Linked DNA regions of Alligator mississippiensis. The protein of the gene in region 1 binds, or shares a complex with, the protein of each later gene. Links are inferred from orthologs where the notes say so. Each region holds a gene or a part of one and is shown on either strand. Other genes may lie near its edges.

Region 1 (10,882 bases):
GATTTGTTTAGGGGCCTCCTTTAGTTATCCACATTTTAAAGTACTAGTTGCCATGACAAATCTTGAAGTAAGACAGTTTTTTCAATGCAAATCAACAACGGCTGGTTGGGGAACTTTTTCTGTGGTAGTAAATTAAAGAGCCCTAAGTACACAATTTCAGAGATATCTAAAACCACTGTACTGAAGAGAATTAATTTTCTTTAGACCAGTTGAAATATTCATGAGGTTACCGTGATTTCTTCCCAGTATGGACCGCCTCGGGTGAACATGAAGTAATGGTACATATCATCCTTTTGATGGGAAAAGTATGGGTCTGTAAAAATGTTTATCATCCAGGGTCGACCATCACCACGGACACGTAAATGCAGACTATTAAAGTTTGTCCAGTCATAGTATTTCTTCCTATTAAAAACCCCCTGCAAGAAATTAATAAAGTGTGTAATTTTATCTTAGTATGTCAATAAGAATTACTACAATAAGACCTGAGGCAGCCTTTGAATAGTCTCCCCCTCCCTCCCTTTTCATTAATTAGATAATGTTTTCTGTAACCCAGAGGAGACGCAATGTAAGATAAGGAAAACCAGACTTACTATTTGTTTCATTATAACAGTTTTAGTTCCATGATTCTCAGTGCTGTTAGACATCTCAAAAATGGGGTAACATCTTCAAGGACTTGTACTCAGATTTTGTAATCACAAATCTCACTATAGAAAATGAAACGCCACTCCCAGCACATTAACACAGATACTGCCATGACAGTATTTCTTTAAACCAGTATCCTGCGTCTAAGAATGGCCAACAGCAGAAGTTTTGGAAGAAGGTAAAAGAAAAGCAACAAGAACAGGTATAAAATAACCTGCCCCTGCTACAAAAAATGTTGTAGCTAATTCTGAGATACATGCCTTCCTTTAAATTAAAAATTATCCTTCATATTTATTATGCTTTGTGTTGGCCTCAACTTGCTTTGTAAAGGTGGGAAGGTAGTAAGAGGCATTAAACAATTTGGCCAGATTTACACAAATCTGTGGCAGTCCTGGAAATGTAATCTGGGTCCAATTCTCTGGATTTAGCCATCTCCCTTCGAATGAATGTTCACCTGTACACTTAGTTTAATCTATCCAATTTCCTATGTGCCATCAGTATGGCCTCTGATTAAATCTGTTCACATTCTTTATCCTTCAGAGCCCTAGTCCTCAATTTTTTACTTCTGTTCTCATTAATTAGGTCACAACTCTTGTTATTTATTCCATTGCATAAAGGCACTCATCTAAAATGACTCCAAGCTTTTTCATCTTGGTATCCCCCCCACTTTTAAGAAACATCTAAAAATGAATACCAATAGTTTTTCATCAAATGAAGGAAACAGACTATTATAACTAAATCATATTTTTGTTCTGTTCTATTTATAACTTGATTTAGTCTTTTGCATATTTTGAAAGGCAAGAATCCACATACAGAATTTTAAAAAGGATATTCCATAGCAGATTCTTCCTCTTTCACTTCAGGAACAAAAGAGAGCGTATTCTAACCTCAAATTGGGTTTGGATACAAACGTTAAGTTTGGGCCTAGATACTGTGACTACTTGTAGGTACGCACATATACAGGTTAAATAAAGTAGTCAGCACTGCACCAGTCATTTAAAATGCACCAATTCTGTCAATAAAACTTTGCTATAGGAGACTAAGCTTGCCTTTACTCAGTTACCATGTGTGCAATGGGAAATCCACTTTTGGTGATTAAAGGAAAAAAACGCTCCTTTCTTAAGAAAGATTTAGCCCTGAGCTAAAGTTTCAACTATGCCTAGTCAGAGTATGGCAATGATTACATCAGCAAATGGATTGAAGCAGAACGTCTCATACTTCTTCAACTGTCCCAATTTACTTACAACAAATAAAAGCCAATTTATTCTCACTGGTATAACACAGCAGAGTTAACTAGATTAAAGTAAGCCTCAAGAAGTTTGTTAAAAAGCCTAGCAAAGGTTGTCTTTGTTTTAGTCATTCTGAATACAGATTGTATTATCAGCTTAGACTAAGAAACCTAACAAGCAACCAGCACTAGAAATCAAGAGTTTGAATTTTGTACTTGATTCAATATACTTGATGGACAGTCTACGAAGCATCTAGAACAGAGTTCACCCTTCAGCTCCCTGCACTAAATAAACACTTCAGTTATTCATAATTTTCCATGGCAAATACGATTTTTTTCTCCAGTTGTGAGTGCAGAGTGAGCTCAAAATGTTTTTCTCTCCTTCCTGTGTCAGGAGAGTTTCTAATAAATAGAAACAAATGTACCTTGAAGAGGTAATCAGAAGAAAAATATCTGTACCGAAGTCCCCTAATCGCCCATCCTGTCAGCAGAATAAGAGGTCCCTGATAAAATACTGAATGTTAACTTAAATAATTAAGTTTTACTCACCAGTCGTGGCTTGGCTTTAAATCCACAATATCCACTGTATTTTGTTTCCCCATCACGAGGTACTTCAGTATTGAGGGTCCCATAGAACAGAGCACTTTGGTTATTCTTGCCTAGTTTTAGGTAGGCTTCACTTTTCCCTCCAATCTCTGTATCGGAGCTAGCTATCCATTTATCTAAATCTTTCTGGCTGTGGAATTTCCAGACCACTCTAGTCTCTTCCCATAAGTGAACATGCAGAGGCTGGCCATCATAACTTGTTACATGCTCTGCTATCTCAGACTTTAGTAATTTAAAATGTTTTTTAACCCCATTCACTGCTTTTTCAGTACTGAAATCAATTTTTTTCCAGACTGGAGTGTCATCAGGGCTTATTCCTGGTCTCCTATAGCTACTATACATTTTGGAGATGTGATTAGTGACGAGAGGGCCAAGCAAAGAATGCAAGACTTTGTGCCTCTGGCACTCCCTAAGAGGACGAGCACTAGCCAGTAGTTTAAAAGCTACAGCCATAAAGGTAGAATTGAAGGATGATCAAATTTCACTTTGAGAAAGGGCACTACCAGGTCTGAAATAAAGTCTTCAAAAAAGATTACTAGATGTACCAAATGTTGTTAAGGTAGCTTGTTTCCTCCACCTGTAACAAGAGGAACGAGAGAAAGAGATTACAAGCATACTTGTAAAGGTTTTACTTGTAAAAGGACACTGGCTTGAAATTAACCAATTTAAAAAACAGTTAAAAGCAATATCAGATTCTATGACTGCTGTGTCTTCTTGATTTTTGTCATTTTACAATAGCATTTTCCAATTTTTTAAGCTTTTCTCCTGCCATTGCTGCATAAGATTCCCAACATGAATCACAAGACAAAATGCTTGAAGTAAAACTGAAAAGAAAATAAAAAAACATTCTCCATTCTTTTAATCACAGTAAAAGTAGATGTCACTTGCAGCATTACCAGAAATTTGCAAAGAAAATTTGAAAGTTGATAATGCCCTTGTGGAACACTGCATGGCCATAATTTTGCAAACAGTCCTATCACTTTGTATCACATCTGTATGTATAAGACATAGCTGTTATACACGCACACTGAAATCTTGATATATATATATATATATATATATACACACACACACACACACACACACACATACACATACACACATACTATTATAATGTAATATATATAAAGTGGGTTGTATCATATTTTTATGCATATCCAATAAGGATATTTAAATATGTTACAAACATATACTATCCAATGCATTTATATATAAAGATATACTAAAATAAAAAGTTGTACTAAAGAGATATGTATGTACTAAAATATCTATATGTATGCTGTACAGTATATAAATTGTTCATGTGTTTTATATAAAATATGATATATTACATAGGATGGAGGCAAGGGAAGAAACCGACACTGACTGACTCCTCATTTGTGCTGCCTTAATTTTTTTAAGGCAGCACAAAAGCTGAGCAAATAAAGTTTCTTACTCTTTGTTGCACCACACAACAGGAAAATCAGTGGTGCAACAAAAAGTATCAACAGACTTACACTACTGAGGCAGACCTCTATTACCTTGCAGTGCTTCCCCTGCTCAACCAGCCTATGACAAGGGGGATGGGTTGGCACAGCAGAGACAAGCCCCCCCTGCCCTATTTGGGTCTGGGGCAGGGAGAAAAGTGCTTCCCCACTCAGCCAGCCCCCCCACCCCCACATGGGTCTGGAGCAGTGAGGCAAGTGAGGAGATGTGGGACAAGGGAGGAGGTGTGTTGCGCCCAGTGAAGGGGACGCACCGAGCTGCGCCACGACACAAGGCGACACAGGTGAATTGCTCCACTGGGCTGCGAATTGCTCCATGTGATGCCTGCAATGGCAGAAGACCAGACTTGACCCAAGTGGCCCTCTCCAGCCCAGGTTTCTTAAAAAATGTATTGTTTTGCTTTCTATGAGCTATTCTAGCATCAGCCAAATACGTCCCATCCGTCTCCCCGCCCCACTAATATTTAGTAAAATAAAAAGAACTCCCCCAATATCCCTAGAGAATACTCCCAGCAGCCCATACGACATTGATGCAAGAAAGTCTGACCCTTTAAACAAGCTGCATGGCATAACCGTGGAAGTGCTGCCTGGCCTGGGGATGGGGGTCTTTTATTGGACCAGCCACGCAGGCGGGCCGCGGCTGAGGCCGGACACGCTGCCAGGGCCGCCTGCACCATCCACACTGCGCCATGCTCGGACCATTATGACGCAACATGACGCGGGGATGACGTCACCACCCCAGACGCGCTCTCCGGAGGGGCAGCTGCAGCGCGGCTCAGCCCGAGCTGCTTCCCCTGCGACGCCCCGTGGAGCCCGCCAGCGCCACCCCCGGCCCCACAGCGGCTCTGAGCGCCCCAGGGACACCACCCTGCCCTCGCCGCCCCCCGCGCGCTCGTCCGCGTCCTCGTCCTCACCTGCCGGCGGACGTAGCGAGTCCGGCCGCGATCAGAGCCCGCCGCGCAACCGTGGCCGAGAGCAAAGGTTCCGCGCCCTGCCGGAGGAAGCCGCGGGGTTCTGGGGTCCGCGATGCTCAAAGCCACGGCGCTCTCCCGGGCCGGCCCCGCCGCCAGGCACAAACTCAGCTCAGCCCGCCAGGCCGCTGCCGGCTCGTCCCTGCAGCACAGCCCGTGCTCCCCTCGGGGAGGCAGCACCAGCTAGTGGGTAGAGCCAAGGCCAGGGCTCCGGGATTCCTCCTGCCTTCCAGTCCCAGTCATACCACGACTCAGCCTGGCCCTAAGCACCCGGCATTTGCGTCCTGTTCCCTCCTCTGCTGTAAAAGTGATACTTGGGTGCGAGTGTGAGGATTACGTGCTGCCTGCCTGCCTGTCTGTCCTGAGACTTGCCCCGAGGGCTCCAGCTGAAAGGCTCTGTGAGTATAAAACATTATTTTACTGGTCGGTGCATTTTTTTAAATTGAGATCAAAGGGTTTTGGGGAGGAGGGCTTAGGGGGGTTTTCGGTGGTGGCTGTTGTGTGTGTGTGTGTAGGGGGGTTGGTATTGGTGTTCAGGGCTGTGAAGTTCTACACCAGCCTTTCAGTCAGAGCTGTGTGGGTAAAAAATGTGAAATACTGAGACAGAATTTGATCGGAGTATAAAAAGTGCATCTGATGCGACACCTGTCATGGCAGGAGACCAGACCTGGTGACCTAAGTGGTCCTCTCCAGTCCTATTTTCTTTAAAAAAAATATTGTTTTGCTTCCTGGGAGCGATTCCAGCATCAGCCAAGTGCACTTCCCCCGAACTACTGCAAAGTAAAAAAAAAAACCAAAAAAAAAAACAAAAAACCGAAAACCCAGTAGCCCTTGAAGAAACTTCCAGCAGCCCATATTACTTAAATACAAAAAAGCCTGACCCTTTAAACAAGTTGCATGGCATGCATACATGTGGAAGTGCTGTAAAACCTTTCTATTTGGGCAGGCGTTTAGCAAGCAAAGTTAAGCTGGGATATTGTTTGGGGGGGCGTTGCTTTATATGTTGCTTCAATATAGATTTCATAAGTTGTTTTGTGCTCTTGCTTGTTCTCTTGTTTTATAAGTTATTTTGCTCATTTACTGTAAGTCACCTTGAGGGTCTGTTGGGAAGGGCAACATATACCTCTAATAAATAAATGCCGTATTTTCATAACATACACATCACAAACTGTTTGATGACAATGACTCCTTTCTTGGCCTCTATTCCCAATTTTCATCACCCAGTATAAATGTACAAAGATTTTCAGAATTACTTTCCTCCCATCTCCCCACATATTCCAATAGCCTGCGGAGTTCAGGAAATCCTTAACATCCTGATAATTCAAAATAGTAAGAAAAAAAAAGAAAAACAAACAAAAAGATATTATCCTATCTTGAAAAATCATCATTAGTTTGGGTAACTTTTTAAAAATAGGTTCTCCCATCCACCACTATGATGCATATTGTTTCTCTGTGAATGCCCAACGGGTATGGATCTTGACTGAGTCTACTGATGTTTGCAACCTGAAAACTCAGGCAAGTCTTGTCCTATAGCTGCCAACATTTTAGACGTACCGTGATTAGCAATTTAGTGGTTTATTTTCACTTAGATAAGACTCCATATACCTGGCCAGTTCACAGTTCAGCTACATGTAATCTGTATTTAAACCATAGTTTACTTACATTAACATGTTTAAAACCACATCCTACAAGCTTCTTTGGAAATACATAGCACTGACATATTATATAGTGTTTATGACATTTACAGGAGAAACAGTAGGGTTTATGGCTCAGCCTCCCAGGTCTAGAAGGTGTTAACTAATTGTAGGAGCATCATGGCTATCAGAGAAGTACACTACATGGAGAGCACATAGGAAAGTGAAAAAACTTGGGGGTGGGTGAGTGGTCCAGAGCAAATGCCGTTTGATGTACCTGGATCTTTGCTACTTAGTATTTCATGACTTTCAAAACCTGTCTTTACATTAATAAATTACATTAATTTTAAATGTAATGTTATTAATTGTAATGGCTGAGGTGAACATTTGTAATCTGAACAATAATATAAGATTGTATTGTTTGAATACATGATTATTAATAAAATAACCATCAATTCTTACCCAAACCTAGGAACAGCATATAGCTTCTCTTGCCAATAGTCTCTCTGAGACTTACCTGCTAAGAGATTGGCAGAGCTGGATATTTATGCCTGTCCAGAGCGCATTGGGCTTTAAAGATATTCTGCCTGGGTGCAGAGGTCACCCTGAGCAGAGCACATTGCAGGAGCAGGGACAGAACCAGGAGTTAGAGGGGAGGGAGAGGAGGGAATCCATAGATTTCTGTTGGAAATAGTCAGTGGTTTACAGTAATGCCACTTAAGCTGTCAGAACTTCCAGCATTAATCCTCTTCTGCAAAGAACAGGTTGTTTGGCCCCTGCTACATCTTATATATTTCAGTTAATTGGTGAATCCAGCAACGCATTTCAACTGACCATACGTGCAAAGTAATTATCACATGTCTGACTGCTCAACCATGCAATACATTTAGAGCAGCCACCTGTGCAGAGTAATCATCACACTTGACCATCCAGCTATAAAGAGAGTCAATCTGCTATAAAGTTAGTGCTTGAAATTGTGTAACTCCATGGCTGGTTTCCATTTAGCTGGAATCCAAACAGGTGGCAGGGCCCTCAAGAGGAAATTCCTGCTCCTCCAACCTCCAGGGCTGTCATTCATCTGTCACCTTGGAGCTCTGCCATGCCTTCAAATTAAAACTGGCAAGAAACCAGCTATAGAGCTGCCACATATTTTCAAGCACTAACTTTATTTGGTATTTTGCATTTGCATTTGGCATTTTATAGCTGGAGAGTCATTTTTATGTGTGATAATGACTTTGCTGGGGGGTGGGAGGTCGGGTCTAATAGATGTATTGCGTGGTTTACTAGTTCCTCATGGGACAGTTACTTTGCACTTGTGGCCGGTTTACACTTCTAGTGCGATTTAGCGGGGAATTGTGTGATATACGTAACATGTAGCAGGGGCCTTGTGGGAAGAGGCCTGAAAGGAGCAGAGGGGTTAGTGTCCCCCCAGCTTTTGCTGGCCAGAGACTGGGGCGCGGAGTAAGTGACCCCTCCTGACTCTCGCCATCAGCGTCTTCTACGTGGAAGCTCCCCGTGGCCCGAGAAGCAGGCGAGCGGCCGCTGGGCGAAGCGCGGGTGGCGGATCCGCAGAGCAGCGAGGCAGGGGAGCGGCTGCGGCCGGCCCCCCGCGGCCTTTGTTGGGGAACAGAGGGGCTCTGTTGCGGGGAACTCGGCGGCGCGCGGGTTCCAGGCCGGACGGGCACGTGCGGCGCATGGTGAGCGGCGGCGGGGCCGGGCGGCGAGCGCGGGGCCACGTGCTGTCGGCTGGGCCCCGCCCAGCGGCGGCGGCGGCGGCGGCCTGGCCCCTCCCCGGGGCGGGGCGGCGCGGGGCGCATGCTCCGTGCCCTTTGTGTCCGGGCGCTGGGGCGGCCGGGCTCGGCTCGGCGCGGTGCGGCGCGGCTCGGCTCGGTTCGGCGGCGCTCGCAGGGCCGCAGCGTCCGCCCGCCTGCCGGGCTTGCGGCGCTGCCGCCTCCGCCATGGTGAAGAAGCGGAAAGGCCGCGTCCTCATCGACTCCGACACCGAGGACAGCGGCAGCGAGGAGAACCTCGACCAGGTGCGGGCGAGCGGCCGGCAGGCCCGGCGCGGGCCTCGGCTGCTGGGCGGCCCCGGCCCGCTGGGCCTAGGGCGCGGAGCGGAGCGCGGGGCCCTGCCCCGGCTCGGGCCCGGGAGGCTGCGGCGGCGGCGGATGCTCCTGCTGCCCCCCTCCCCCCTTCCCGTTCCCGCTGCGGGGAAGCGGCTCCCTCGTGCGCGGCCCCGGCCGCCTCAGAGAGGGGTGCCGCTTTACGCCCTGGCAGGGACTTGCTTTGGCCCGTTCCCCGTGGCGCCGGGCCGGGCTGCCCCGTACCAGCGTGGCTTGGGCGGCTGTGAAGCCTCTGGGGGCGGCCTGTGCCTGCGCCGGCCTGGGGGGAGAAGCTGTCAGTGCCGCGGGGGGGGGGGCGGGGAGGGAGGCTTCCCGGCTTCTGCCTCAGTGTCACTTGAGCCAGAGTTGCCTCCTGTCACGTAGACCTTCTAGCAAGGGGTGAGAAGCACTGCGGGTCTCGTGTCTCTCAGCATCACGAGTAAACTTGGGCCTGTAGCAGGTTGGGCCTTTCTCCATGGCGAACTGCCTTAAAAACTTAAAAACCATGTCTTGCTGCCCAAGAGCACAGGGAGTCGGGCTAACCCTAGGCTGGGATGCGTAGGGGCTGGCATAGGCCGGGGGGGGGAGGAGTGATCTTGTACCCCATGCTTCCTCTGTGGCGGGTGAAGCAGTAAGTGGTTGCATTCTGTCCCATGGAGAGCTCTAGGGCAGCTGAGCCACAGCAGCTCCCGCCCACTGGACTTAGGTAGCGGAGAGGGGAAATTTGGTTTCTATGATACATGGCTTAACTAGAGAGGGAGTCAGCTGTAGTAGCCCAAAGTCAGGGCAGAGCAGCACCTTGTAGACTCTCTAGTGCAGAAAGGCTAAGCTTCCCGAAGCAAGTTGGAGATGGTATGAAGGGATGTAATTAGCTGTGTTAATGGTGGTACCCTGCCCTGCCTTTTCTGTGACTTGATTAGGAAAGCCTAGGCCAAAAAGGGCATTGGAGGATGCTTGGCCTCTGCCTTTAGCAGCATGTAGCATTTTAGAAACTCAAGGAGGGGGGACCCTTACAATACAGGTTTCTCAAAAAAGAAAATGAGGAAGGATAAGTAGGGTAACAAAGGAATATTGACACGGTTAAAAGGAGAGCATAGCTGGTCCAAGGTACTACATAAGAAAGCACTCATGGGAGTGAGGTGAGGGTGCCATTTAGCCAATTTGTTGCAAGCGGGGGGGACATAGTTCTAACAAAGACTAGGGATCTGTGCCTGCTAAGGAGATGCCTTTCTGATGTTAGGGGCCTGCACAGAGAGACCTGATAAATCCACTTGCCAGTGAAAGCTTTCCTGGTGAGTTGAGGAGGTCTAAGTCATCTGCAGAATTTAAACTCTTATTTGAAAAATGAAGTTCTAACCTCTGGGGCTGTGAAGATTATCTTCTTGTTTAAGACCAATAAAAACCATGTTTAGTGATGTTGTCCCAAGACAGTAGCAGTCCCCATGTGATTAGGTGGTCTCTGATAGCTTAAACTTAGCAAAAGCATTTTTTGTGATACTTTGAAGAGTCTGTAATGTTTTACTGATGCTTTTCACAGTCCTTTTAGCAACAGTGAAACTCCAGAATCCTTTTAGATTCTGGTGGATGTTTGAAAAAGTTGTGAGCAGCAGCAGGTAGTGAAAATGTTCATGTGATAGCAGGGCACAGACGGCAGAAGTAAGGGTAGGGCACTAGAGACAATTCATCCTTGCAGCAACCAGTAGAAGAAACAAAAAAGGAAAGTTTGATGCTGCTGATTTATTTCTAGATACCTACAGGAGATGAAGCCCTGTGTTCTTTGGTAGGAATCCCATCACCCTGCCTATCTTAGTTGCAGAGCAGGGCAGACAGCAGAGTTGTCCATCAGGGATGTTGCATCTAGACCCTCATAGCAGATCCTTTGATTTTAATTTTTTTTTTTTTTGGATATGTCTTGCTAATAGATGTGATCTTCTGAATAGTTGGTATCTGGTGTGTTTTTTTTCCCCAAGCCTAGTATTGTGGGGTGCTCACTAATATTCTGAACTGGTGGAGAGCAACTGCTTAATTTTAGTCTTCCAGTCTGGTACCTGTGATACAAGTGTCTTTATATGCTTCACTGTAGTTTTGAGATAGATAGAAAAATGGACAGACCTGTTTGGACTCTGTTAAAGGAATAGTCCAGTTAGGATGTATAAGTCACTGTCTCAGGCTTCAAAGCAACTACCATAAAAGCATATAACTACAAAAAGCGAGA
Region 2 (9,082 bases), on another chromosome or scaffold:
CTGTCAAGGTCTGCCTGGATCACCCTCCTGTCCTCAGGCATGGATGCTTTACCCCAGAGTCTGGTGTCAGCGGCAAACTTGGCCAGTCCGCTTCTGACACCAATGTCTACGTCATTAATGAAGATGTTAAACAATATAGGCCCTCGGACAGAGCCTTGAAGGGACCCCACTGGTCACAGGGAACCACAGCGATCGACTTCCATCAACCACCACCCTCTGGGACCTGCTGTGGAGCCAATTCCCCAGCCAGCAGATCATGGTGGGGCCAAGTTAGCCAGTTTTGCCAAGAGGTGATCATGGGATACCAGATCGAAGCCTTTTATAAAGTCAAAATATATGACATCAATCTCATTTCCCTTGTCCAGGTGATAGGTCACCTGGTCGTAGAAGGAAATGAGACTGGTCAAGCAAGACCTACCCGCAACAAACCCGTGCTGGCTATCCCTCAGGATGTTGTCGTCAGCCAGTCGGTTAAGAATGGCCTCTTCGATAATCTTTTCTAGGATCTTCCCCGGGATAGGGGTGTAAACTGTCAGGGCTGGCTGACTTGAAGGTATCCAGCCTCTCAAGGTGTTCCTTGGCGAGGTCAGCTTTGATGGAGGGTAAGGGATCTCCCTCACCCCGGGCCTCTCTGTCCCGCAGTGGGCAGGGGCGTCCCATGGGACTGGTGAAAAACTAATGCAAAGTACCCATTTAGTAAGTTTGCTTTTTCCTGGGCGTCTGTTGTCAATTGTCCCATCTGGTTTAGCAGGGGAGCATTCATTGGAGCATTCTCATCTTTGTTATGTTCAGTCTCCTTTCTTGAGTTTTTTTTTAGGAGTCATGTCTCCACTCCTTACAATACTTGTACACATCTTACAGGCTTTCCCCTTCCACTTCACTCATGGATTATTATGATTCTTCTTCTCCCCTCGCTTGTCCCGTCTAAACAAGGTTGCTGTTGTGGAGCCTGGCTTTCCACTGGCTTCGGTCATATGCATCATTTCCAACTTCTTTTCTCGTGTCCTCTCCACTCTCTCTCTCCATATCATCTTCAGTCTTCCTCTTCTCCCTTGTAGTCCCATTCTGGTAACTTCTTTTCCCCCTCTTATTCTTCCGAATTCCCTTTGAAAATGTCCATACCATGCCAGTCTTCTTTCTTGTACTTCCTTAGATGCCTCCACTACCTTCACTGATCTTCTGGTGCAGGTATTCCTTACTTTATCCATCTTTGTCACTCCACACATCCATCGGAGCACTAATCTTTGTAACGTTCAGTCTCCTTTCTTGAGTTTTCTTTGGGAGTCATGTGTCTGCTCCTTACAATACTGCTGGATGTACACATCTTGTAGGCTTTCCCCTTCAGCTTCACAGATATTCTCCTGTCACATAATGTTCCTGTCATCCATTTCCAATTCATCCATCCTGCTGTTATTCGATGGTTGAACTCTTTCTCTAACTCCCCCTTTTTCTGAACAACTGACTCCAGATACTTGAACATGTCAACTTTTCAAACATGTTTCTCATGGATTATCACATTTCCAACCTCAGGTACCTCAGAGAAATAACAGTGCATTCAACTCCACCTATGATTTAAGATAATTATTTCTTGGAATTTTAATTTGCTGTGTACAAGCACTTGATAGACTAATCTATCTTGGCTTTCCTGCTGTCCTATCGCTTTAAGATAACTGATTTTGAGTTAGCAAATACACACCTCTCTAGAGCAGAGCCCTGAGCCTTCTGGATATTGTAGTGCTTTCTCCCCTCTAGGTCCCTGGTTGGTGTGTAATGTATAGAGTCCGCCTTATATTGAGGGCTAGGCTCGTTTCATAATGACAAACCATGTGCCTGGTTCTAGCTCAGGGCTGCAGATATTTTGGGGAAGGTTAGGATGACTACTGTGCTATACAGCCAGTAGTCACAGTGGCAGGGAAAACTGGAGTATAAAGGAACAACCCAATTGTATACATTTCTACTCAGTTTGCCCAAATCCTCTTACCCATATGTTGTTCCTACTTCCTGATATCTGGATGTTGTCACACTTTGCCCCACAAAATCTTTCAAAACACTCTGGAACAAATTGCCGTTTTCATTACCTAAAGCAACTTTCTCTCACACAGTTTGCTTGTATTTACACCTGTGGAGTCCTATATGAGTGGACTAAATCCAGCCATCATGTTTTTCTGTGAATGCAAAAATTGCATTACTCAATTAACAGCGCAAGAGAGACTACAAGTTGCCACCTCCTCACAAGTCATATTAATTTGTATTATGCTACACGCTGCAGTTTAATCAGGGGAAGGGCTTGTGCACCAGGCTCCAAGGGTCCAGCAACTGTTGGCACTGAGCTCTGAGAACCAAAAAAGAAACCCTGCCACTAGCTGCGTCCCTGCAACTGAGCACTGAAGTAAAACAGCAGCCTGCGTGAGCCTCCAGCTGAGATCACTTTACTGCCAAACTCCTTTTTTTGTGTTACATAAAGGCTTCGGGTGGGAAGGGGAAAGATTTTACTTCCCTCCACAGGGCTGTTGAATTTCTGCCTCCCCCTCTACACAAACACAGATTGAAGCACGTTTGGCAGGAGGGGTATTTAATACAAGAAGGAGGTGCAACTATTTCAACAAGTTGATGTAACCGGACACCTGCGACAGACCAAAAAGAAGTACAATGCAGGTGGGACAGCTGGAAAACCGGGTGCCCTTGCGGTCACTGGAATTGCCCAAATATCTCTTTGAACTTCTGCTTGTCCACAACTTGCCCAAACCTGAGCGTGAAGTACAGCACCTGTGGGCTGTCGTAGCGCTTGAACTGGAGCAGCAGCTCACCGCGCCTGTCCCCCGTGTCCCCCAGCGCCATGACGGAGGTGGTGGGGCAGTCGATGTCGTGCCTCCAGCCCCAGAAGGTGAGGTGCGCCACCCGCACCACGCCGCCCGTCTCGCTGAGGTAAATGAGGCCGATGAGGCGCCGCAGGTAGTAGCTGAGGCCGTAGAGCACGACGAAGGCCAGGGCGGCCATGCCCCCCGCCGCCTGCAGCTGCAGCAGCGAGGCCTGGCCCTGCGCGTACAGGAGGCCGAGCGGCGGCAGGGCCAGCACGGTCAGGCCGGTCTGCAGCAGCTTCAGGCGGGACAGCGCGCGGCAGTAGCGGATCCCCGGGAACCTGTAGACCAGCGTGAAGCGCTCCGCGGGCGGCGCGGGCGGCGGGCTGCCGGGGGCGGCGCTGCTACACACGCAGCGCAGCCGCCACGAGCCCGCCCGCCCTCCGGCCACGGCCACGGCGCAGCGCAGGGCGACGGCCTGGGGAGGGAGAGACAGACAGACGAGATGAGCCCCTCAGTGCCGCGCCGCCCTACCCACCCGGCCCCGCACTCACCGCCATGCCGCCGCCGGGAGCCGGGAGCGGAAGAGGCGGGGCCGGAAGCGGCCGCCGGCCACGACAGCTCCTTCACCGCAAGCCATGGCGGCGCCGGGCAACCTCTGCCTCTTCGACGTGGACGGCACCCTCACGGCGCCCCGGCAGGTGAGTGCGGGGCGGCTTCTTCCCAGCCCTTCGCGGCGGGGCGGGCCGGGCCCCCGCAGGCGACGCTTCTCCTCCCCGAGCTCTTCCTCTCCCCTCCCGGCCTGGCTGCCCTCGCCCCGAGCGCGAGCGCTCTGGCCTCGCCGGGTGTCCGGCCGGTTTCCCGGGTGCCTGTCGCTGGCGCTGCAGGGCGGGCTGTGCCGGGCGCCGTGCCCGCCTACACGAGCGTCGGGCTGCTTGGGGCTCGGCCGCCGGCGTGCGCGGGGCAGCGCTGCCCTCAGCGGCGAGCGGGCCCGCTCCGGCGGGGGAGCCAGGCCCCGGGGCAGCTCCATAACGTGCTCTGCAGTCGCTCTAAAAAGAAACCGCCGCTGCTCCGTCGCGCTGAGGGACGCCAAAGCAAAACTCCCTCGGGTGTCGCTCCTCCTGCTAAGGCTGGTGGCTCCTTTGGAGAAATAGTGAAGGGGCGGCGGGCAGGCGGGCGACGCCACCTGTGCATTTGGTAACTAGATAAAGCTGGTGCCGTCTGGATGCGCTTCCTTCTTGGCTGGCGTTCAGGTGAGCCGAGGAAGCCAGATCAAGACAGCAAACGGAAATCATCCTGTGCGGGTCCGTGACAGTAAACTGTCCTTTTTGGGCACGCTTCAGTCTTACAGCTCAAGGGTGCTTCTGAATTCCCAGTTACTGCTGGAGTTTCAGAGAGCCGTTATCTCCACAGGTGCTGTTTTCTTCCAGTACTGGAAGTGAGTTACAGTGTGGAAACACAGCAAATAAATAAACCTGGATGAATAATTAGGCCTGGATCTTTTTCTGTAATAAACTACTCCATGGTAAGGGAGCAGGCACAAGAACACCCTTCCAAGCTAGGTGCCCACAGGCACGTTATGGATCCTGGCTGCTAGGTGGTGCCCCATTCTGGTTTGAATGAAGCAAATGGCTGTCTATGGCAGAGGAAATGAGTTAGGGAAGTGGATATGACCACTGTGCCTCATACAAGGCTCAACTTAAGCCAGTGTGAGTTTGTGTGTCCTGGATCCTTTGCTACCGAGTAAAGTCAGTTTTCTCCATAGTAAAAATTGTGTGTTTATCCTCATACAGATCTTGCTATGCCTCTCTCTGCCTCTGTGACTTCCAGATGTGAACTCAGGGCGTATGGGGGCTACCCCTGAAGGTATTTCAGAAGGTCAAGAGGTTTAAATTTTTAGGCCTTCATAAGAGGGAGCATGCTATGTTAAGTAAGCTACATATTGCACCAGCTTTCTTGTTGATTTTTCACTCAAAGCATTTTTTTGGCATTTTTCTCCCTAAAGCCCTACATATTTTGCTTCACAGCAACCTTTCTCCTCCTGCACCACAATAGCTATGTTCAGATATACAATTATGCTAAAGCTGCGTAGGCTACCCACTAATCATAAACTTTTGTTTCTTTTTTTGAAATCTAGAAAGTCACAGCAGAAATGGGAGAATTTCTGCAGAAGTTGCGGCAGAAGGTGAGAGTTGGAGTAGTAGGTGGTTCAGACTTTGAAAAAATTAAAGAGCAGCTGGGAGACGATGGTAAGGAAGAGATGAGATGGTCCAGGTTGATAAATTTGTTGCGTATGAGGAAGTTCTGACACCTTAAATTAAACCTTTTTTCTTCCTCCTTCCTTGTAGTACGCAAATCTCATGAAGTGTTCACTATTCACAGTCAGTGTGTGATGATTGCTTGATTTAAAACTGTATTGCCCGCAGTGGGTTAAATTAAAAGTCTCCCAAGTACTTGTACTTTACACAGGAAGATTCAGTCTTATACCCTTTGGTTGCTACATGCAGTGAAGTTCTGACTTCACACTAGTAATGTAGAACAGTAGCATAACTAGCTTGCCCTGCGTGCCAAGTTAGGGTGCCAGAATCTCCTCGCATCCCTGCAGAGCCCATGGCCTGGCAGCACTGCCACACTGGGAACTCAGAGGCAGTTCCTGACTGCTGTTGCTGTAAGGGCAAGAGAGCCAGGGGAGGAAGAGCATGTGTAGAACAGCAACCCAGCTGGGACTGTTCAGACATTTCCAGTGTTGGTGAGGCTGCTGCTCCCTTGCCTCCCTGCTCTTGGACCTGCGCACCTCCTGCCCTGGCTCTTGGGACCTATGCCCCTTGCCCCCACTTGCTAATCTGTGTGCTCCCCACCCCCAGAACTCCATGCTTACCTTGCCTGTCTCCCTGCCCCTCTCCCCAATTCCTGCAGGGTTTGCCTTGTATGACAACTTGGCTTGTTATGCCGTTGTGTTAGAATACTAATTTTTAGTTTCTCTCTAATGCAGTTTTGCATATTGCCTTTGATATAGGTTGCTAAACTATGTGTTTATCCATGGAAAAGATGATTTTACTAGCCAAGTGGTCACATAAGGTAGCTTGTTCCAAGCCCTTGGTAGGAAACTTTCATTTTTAATGTGAAAGAACTGTATGAATAGCCATAGGCCCAGTGTAAGCAGCAACTGTTTTTTATAACCCTGCATTTACTTGGCTTAGAAGTGGCTTCTATTTAAACCTACATTATAGCAAGTTCTTATATTATCTACAGTAGTTGATTACTTCTTTACTCTCATTCTGAATGGTTGTAATCAAGGATTTTGAATTTGTAATCTGAGATTTTGAAAATGTGGGTGCAAATGATGTAGCACATCACTGCATGTAACGTTTCACATTTTTCTTCATTTAAACTACAAGATTTACTAATATGCTAGAGGCCTAGCACTATGGTATTCAGTTTAAGATCAAACCAAAAGCAAATATAACTTTATTGAAATAACTTTATTGATGAATGTGTCAATTTGCTAGATTATATGTAAAGTTTAAAAAATACAATAGTAGAAATTAATCTTTTGTTCTATAGATCTTATTTTAGCATCACTTATGCTTAATGTTGTAAAAATACCCTGGTGTATGATATGTAAAAGTATTTACAACAAAAACGTGGAAGTTTGAGTGAAGACAAATAAATTACAACAGTTTTTGTTTGTTTCAGTGGTTGAAAAGTTTGACTACGTCTTCCCAGAAAATGGTCTTGTAGCATACAAAGATGGGAAACTGTTGTCCAAGCAGGTATGTTTGAAGTTCCTATAAACTGTCAGACAATGTAGTCTTTAGATACATTTTCAAATAGTATTCTACTCTTAAGATTTTGCATTTTTTTTTATATCTTGTTTTGCAGTTGCAATTTTCATTTATCATCTTTTTGCTAGTCTGAAATTCTTCTTTTACGTGTATAATTGACCATCCATCTCAATCTTTTAAATGTGTAGATTTGATACAAGGCAGAGGGTCAGATTCTCACATTATGATTTCTTTGTGCTACTCTGGAAGTATAAAGCAATCGGGTATGTGGCATGTCTGGTCAATGAGTTCCCATGATAGAAAAATCCCTGAGTGGCATCTTGCCTACCCTAGAGCATAGAGAACATGACAAGAACCCTTTAAGAATCCCCAATGTGTGGAATTTCCACAATAGTACGGCCGTGTGGAATAACCTTGAAGCTGTTCTGCAATATGCCAGAGGAAGCGAAAGAGGTTTTAGGATTGGGAAGTTGTAAATGTGCTTCTGAACTCCCTTTACTTGTTGTTCTTGAAGTGCATGGAGTATATTGCAACTGCACAGAGTGGATTAGTGGATGAGAAAATACAGTTGATTAAATCTGATCTGATCACTTTCATTGCCTCAACCTAGGTAAAGAAGAGAAGAAAAAAAATAGATCATTACCCAAACTGAAACCTAAGGCAGTGGTTTTGAGACTTAAACAATCTTCTCTATTTCCCATATTTAATTTGGCTGTATTGGTGGTTATGCGCCAGTTACCTTTTAAACCTTTGTTCTCTAAACCATGGTATTTATGAAGTGTCTAGAAGAGTGTGTTACAGTGACTTGGGTTGCACAGCAGCAACTGGAGTGAATGGAAGTTTACAGCCAGTGCTATACACCTACTGGTTAAGATCAGCTGCTTAACTGCATGTTTTTTTAGTATCTTGTGTACATTTAAGACCTGTGTTTGTCTATTTTTGGAAACCTGAACTCTGGAGCTATAGCTAACAGGTATTTTTTTTTGTTTAGAGCATTCAGAATCATATGGGTGAGGACATACTCCAAGAACTAATCAACTATTGTCTTAGTTACATTGCGAAGATTAAACTACCAAAGAAAAGGTATGTATTTAGATGCAGTGCATCTTGGGGCCAGCCTGTTCCCTTTCTTACTGTGTTGGGCAGTGATAAGGAAGGCACGCCAGCTCAGTTCTGTGTTTCAGAACATACCATAAAGCTGTGACAGAAGTCTTCTAGTAATCCCCTAAATGGAAAGATAAAACTCCCTTATTTAAGCAGATGAAAATGGATCAAGGAAGAAATTTTTGTCCAAAGATGTTATGTTGTTGGGAATTAATTGCCCTATTAAAAAATCCAGAAAAACAGCATTTCAAAATTCAGAGGCATCGTGGCTTCTATAGACTAGAACAAGGGCGGGCAAGATGCAGCCCACGGGTGGGATCCGGCCCGCAAGGCAATTTCATCCGACCTGCAGGTGCCCACCAATTAATTGTACCTTGGCCAGCCTGCATGCCTTGCAGGTTTTCTGCTGGATTTCTGGTGGTCTACACTGGTGGAATGGGGTGGGACTGAGCATCTTGCGCATGGTCTTTCAGGAGAGGTTAAACTAAGGTCTTGAGTAATTACTAGGGAATCTTTGTAAATTGTGAGGTCAGTACCACTCCCGCACAGCTCCTTCCATTTTTTTTTCATTTCAATGCTCTTTCCCTCACCCGATTGGCTGAGGGGCCCCTCTGGCCAGGCCATTTGCTACTGAATGCCAGGGAAGTGAAAATCATGGTTTTAAATATGCCACGGATTTTGCCTCCCCACCACGGATTGGCAAAGGGCCCCCTGTAGCCCTGCTGCTGACCAGTGGAGAAGCAAAAACCATGGCATATTTAAACCACTGTTTCCACTTCCCCGGTGATCAGTAGCAAATGGTCCAGCCAGCAGGGCCCCTCTGCCAATCAGGTGGGAGGGAGGACAAGCAGTGAAACAAAAAAATTATTACAAGAGCCATTGCGGGTACTTCCTCAGTGATTTACAGAGATCCCTAATAACTATATTTATCAAACTTTTGTAGAATACCTAATCATGCTAATTATGGCATCATGAGCAAATTTCTGCTTGGGCAGTGGTACTCTGCATTGTGGAATGCAAATTTCACTTCCTTAGTTATCTTTATTGTAAAGGTCATATATGTTGAATGGGTGTGCCCACATGTGTCTGCCCTTTTAAAAACCTTAGCATTTCACTGCATCAGTGCCATTTTTGGTATGCTCATAAAGCATAACTCTTAGGATTTAATTTACACAGTCTAGTCATGACTGCTTCTTTCAGGTGTATGTGGATTTATATGTACTGTCAATAGTGACAGTTTACTGTTTTATTCAGGGGTACTTTTATTGAGTTCCGAAATGGGATGCTAAACGTATCCCCTATTGGGAGAAGCTGCAGCCAGGAAGAGCGAATTGAGTTCTATGAACTTGATAAAGTAAGTGAATTTTATAAATACCTGCTTGTCCTTATAAATAC

Evidence for each region. The genes of interacting proteins can lie anywhere in the genome.
Region 2: NDUFAF1 (region 1) and TMEM186 share a complex: the UniProt entries of both Homo sapiens proteins name them as parts of the mitochondrial complex. The link is inferred for Alligator mississippiensis from reciprocal best matches to the Homo sapiens genes NDUFAF1 and TMEM186.

What each region holds. Positions count from the first base shown.
Region 1 is NC_081825.1:239,880,455-239,891,336, reverse strand, and holds the start of NDUFAF1 (complex I intermediate-associated protein 30, mitochondrial), read right to left. Parts: upstream 4,960-10,882; 5' UTR 4,875-4,959; intron 4,715-4,874; exon of another isoform or gene 4,508-4,714; intron 3,054-4,507; 5' UTR 2,930-3,053; coding exon 2,420-2,929; intron 417-2,419; coding exon 231-416; intron 1-230. Other genes in the region: RNA polymerase-associated protein RTF1 homolog, read left to right, coding at 8,524-8,601. UniProt on the Homo sapiens protein: As part of the MCIA complex, involved in the assembly of the mitochondrial complex I.
Region 2 is NC_081836.1:35,935,155-35,944,236, forward strand, and holds TMEM186 (transmembrane protein 186), read right to left. Parts: upstream 3,408-9,082; 5' UTR 3,359-3,407; coding exon 3,353-3,358; intron 3,277-3,352; coding exon 2,689-3,276; 3' UTR 2,408-2,688; downstream 1-2,407. Other genes in the region: PMM2 (phosphomannomutase 2), read left to right, coding at 3,437-3,499, 4,936-5,047, 6,495-6,571, 7,575-7,666, 8,942-9,041. UniProt on the Homo sapiens protein: As part of the MCIA complex, required for efficient assembly of the mitochondrial complex I.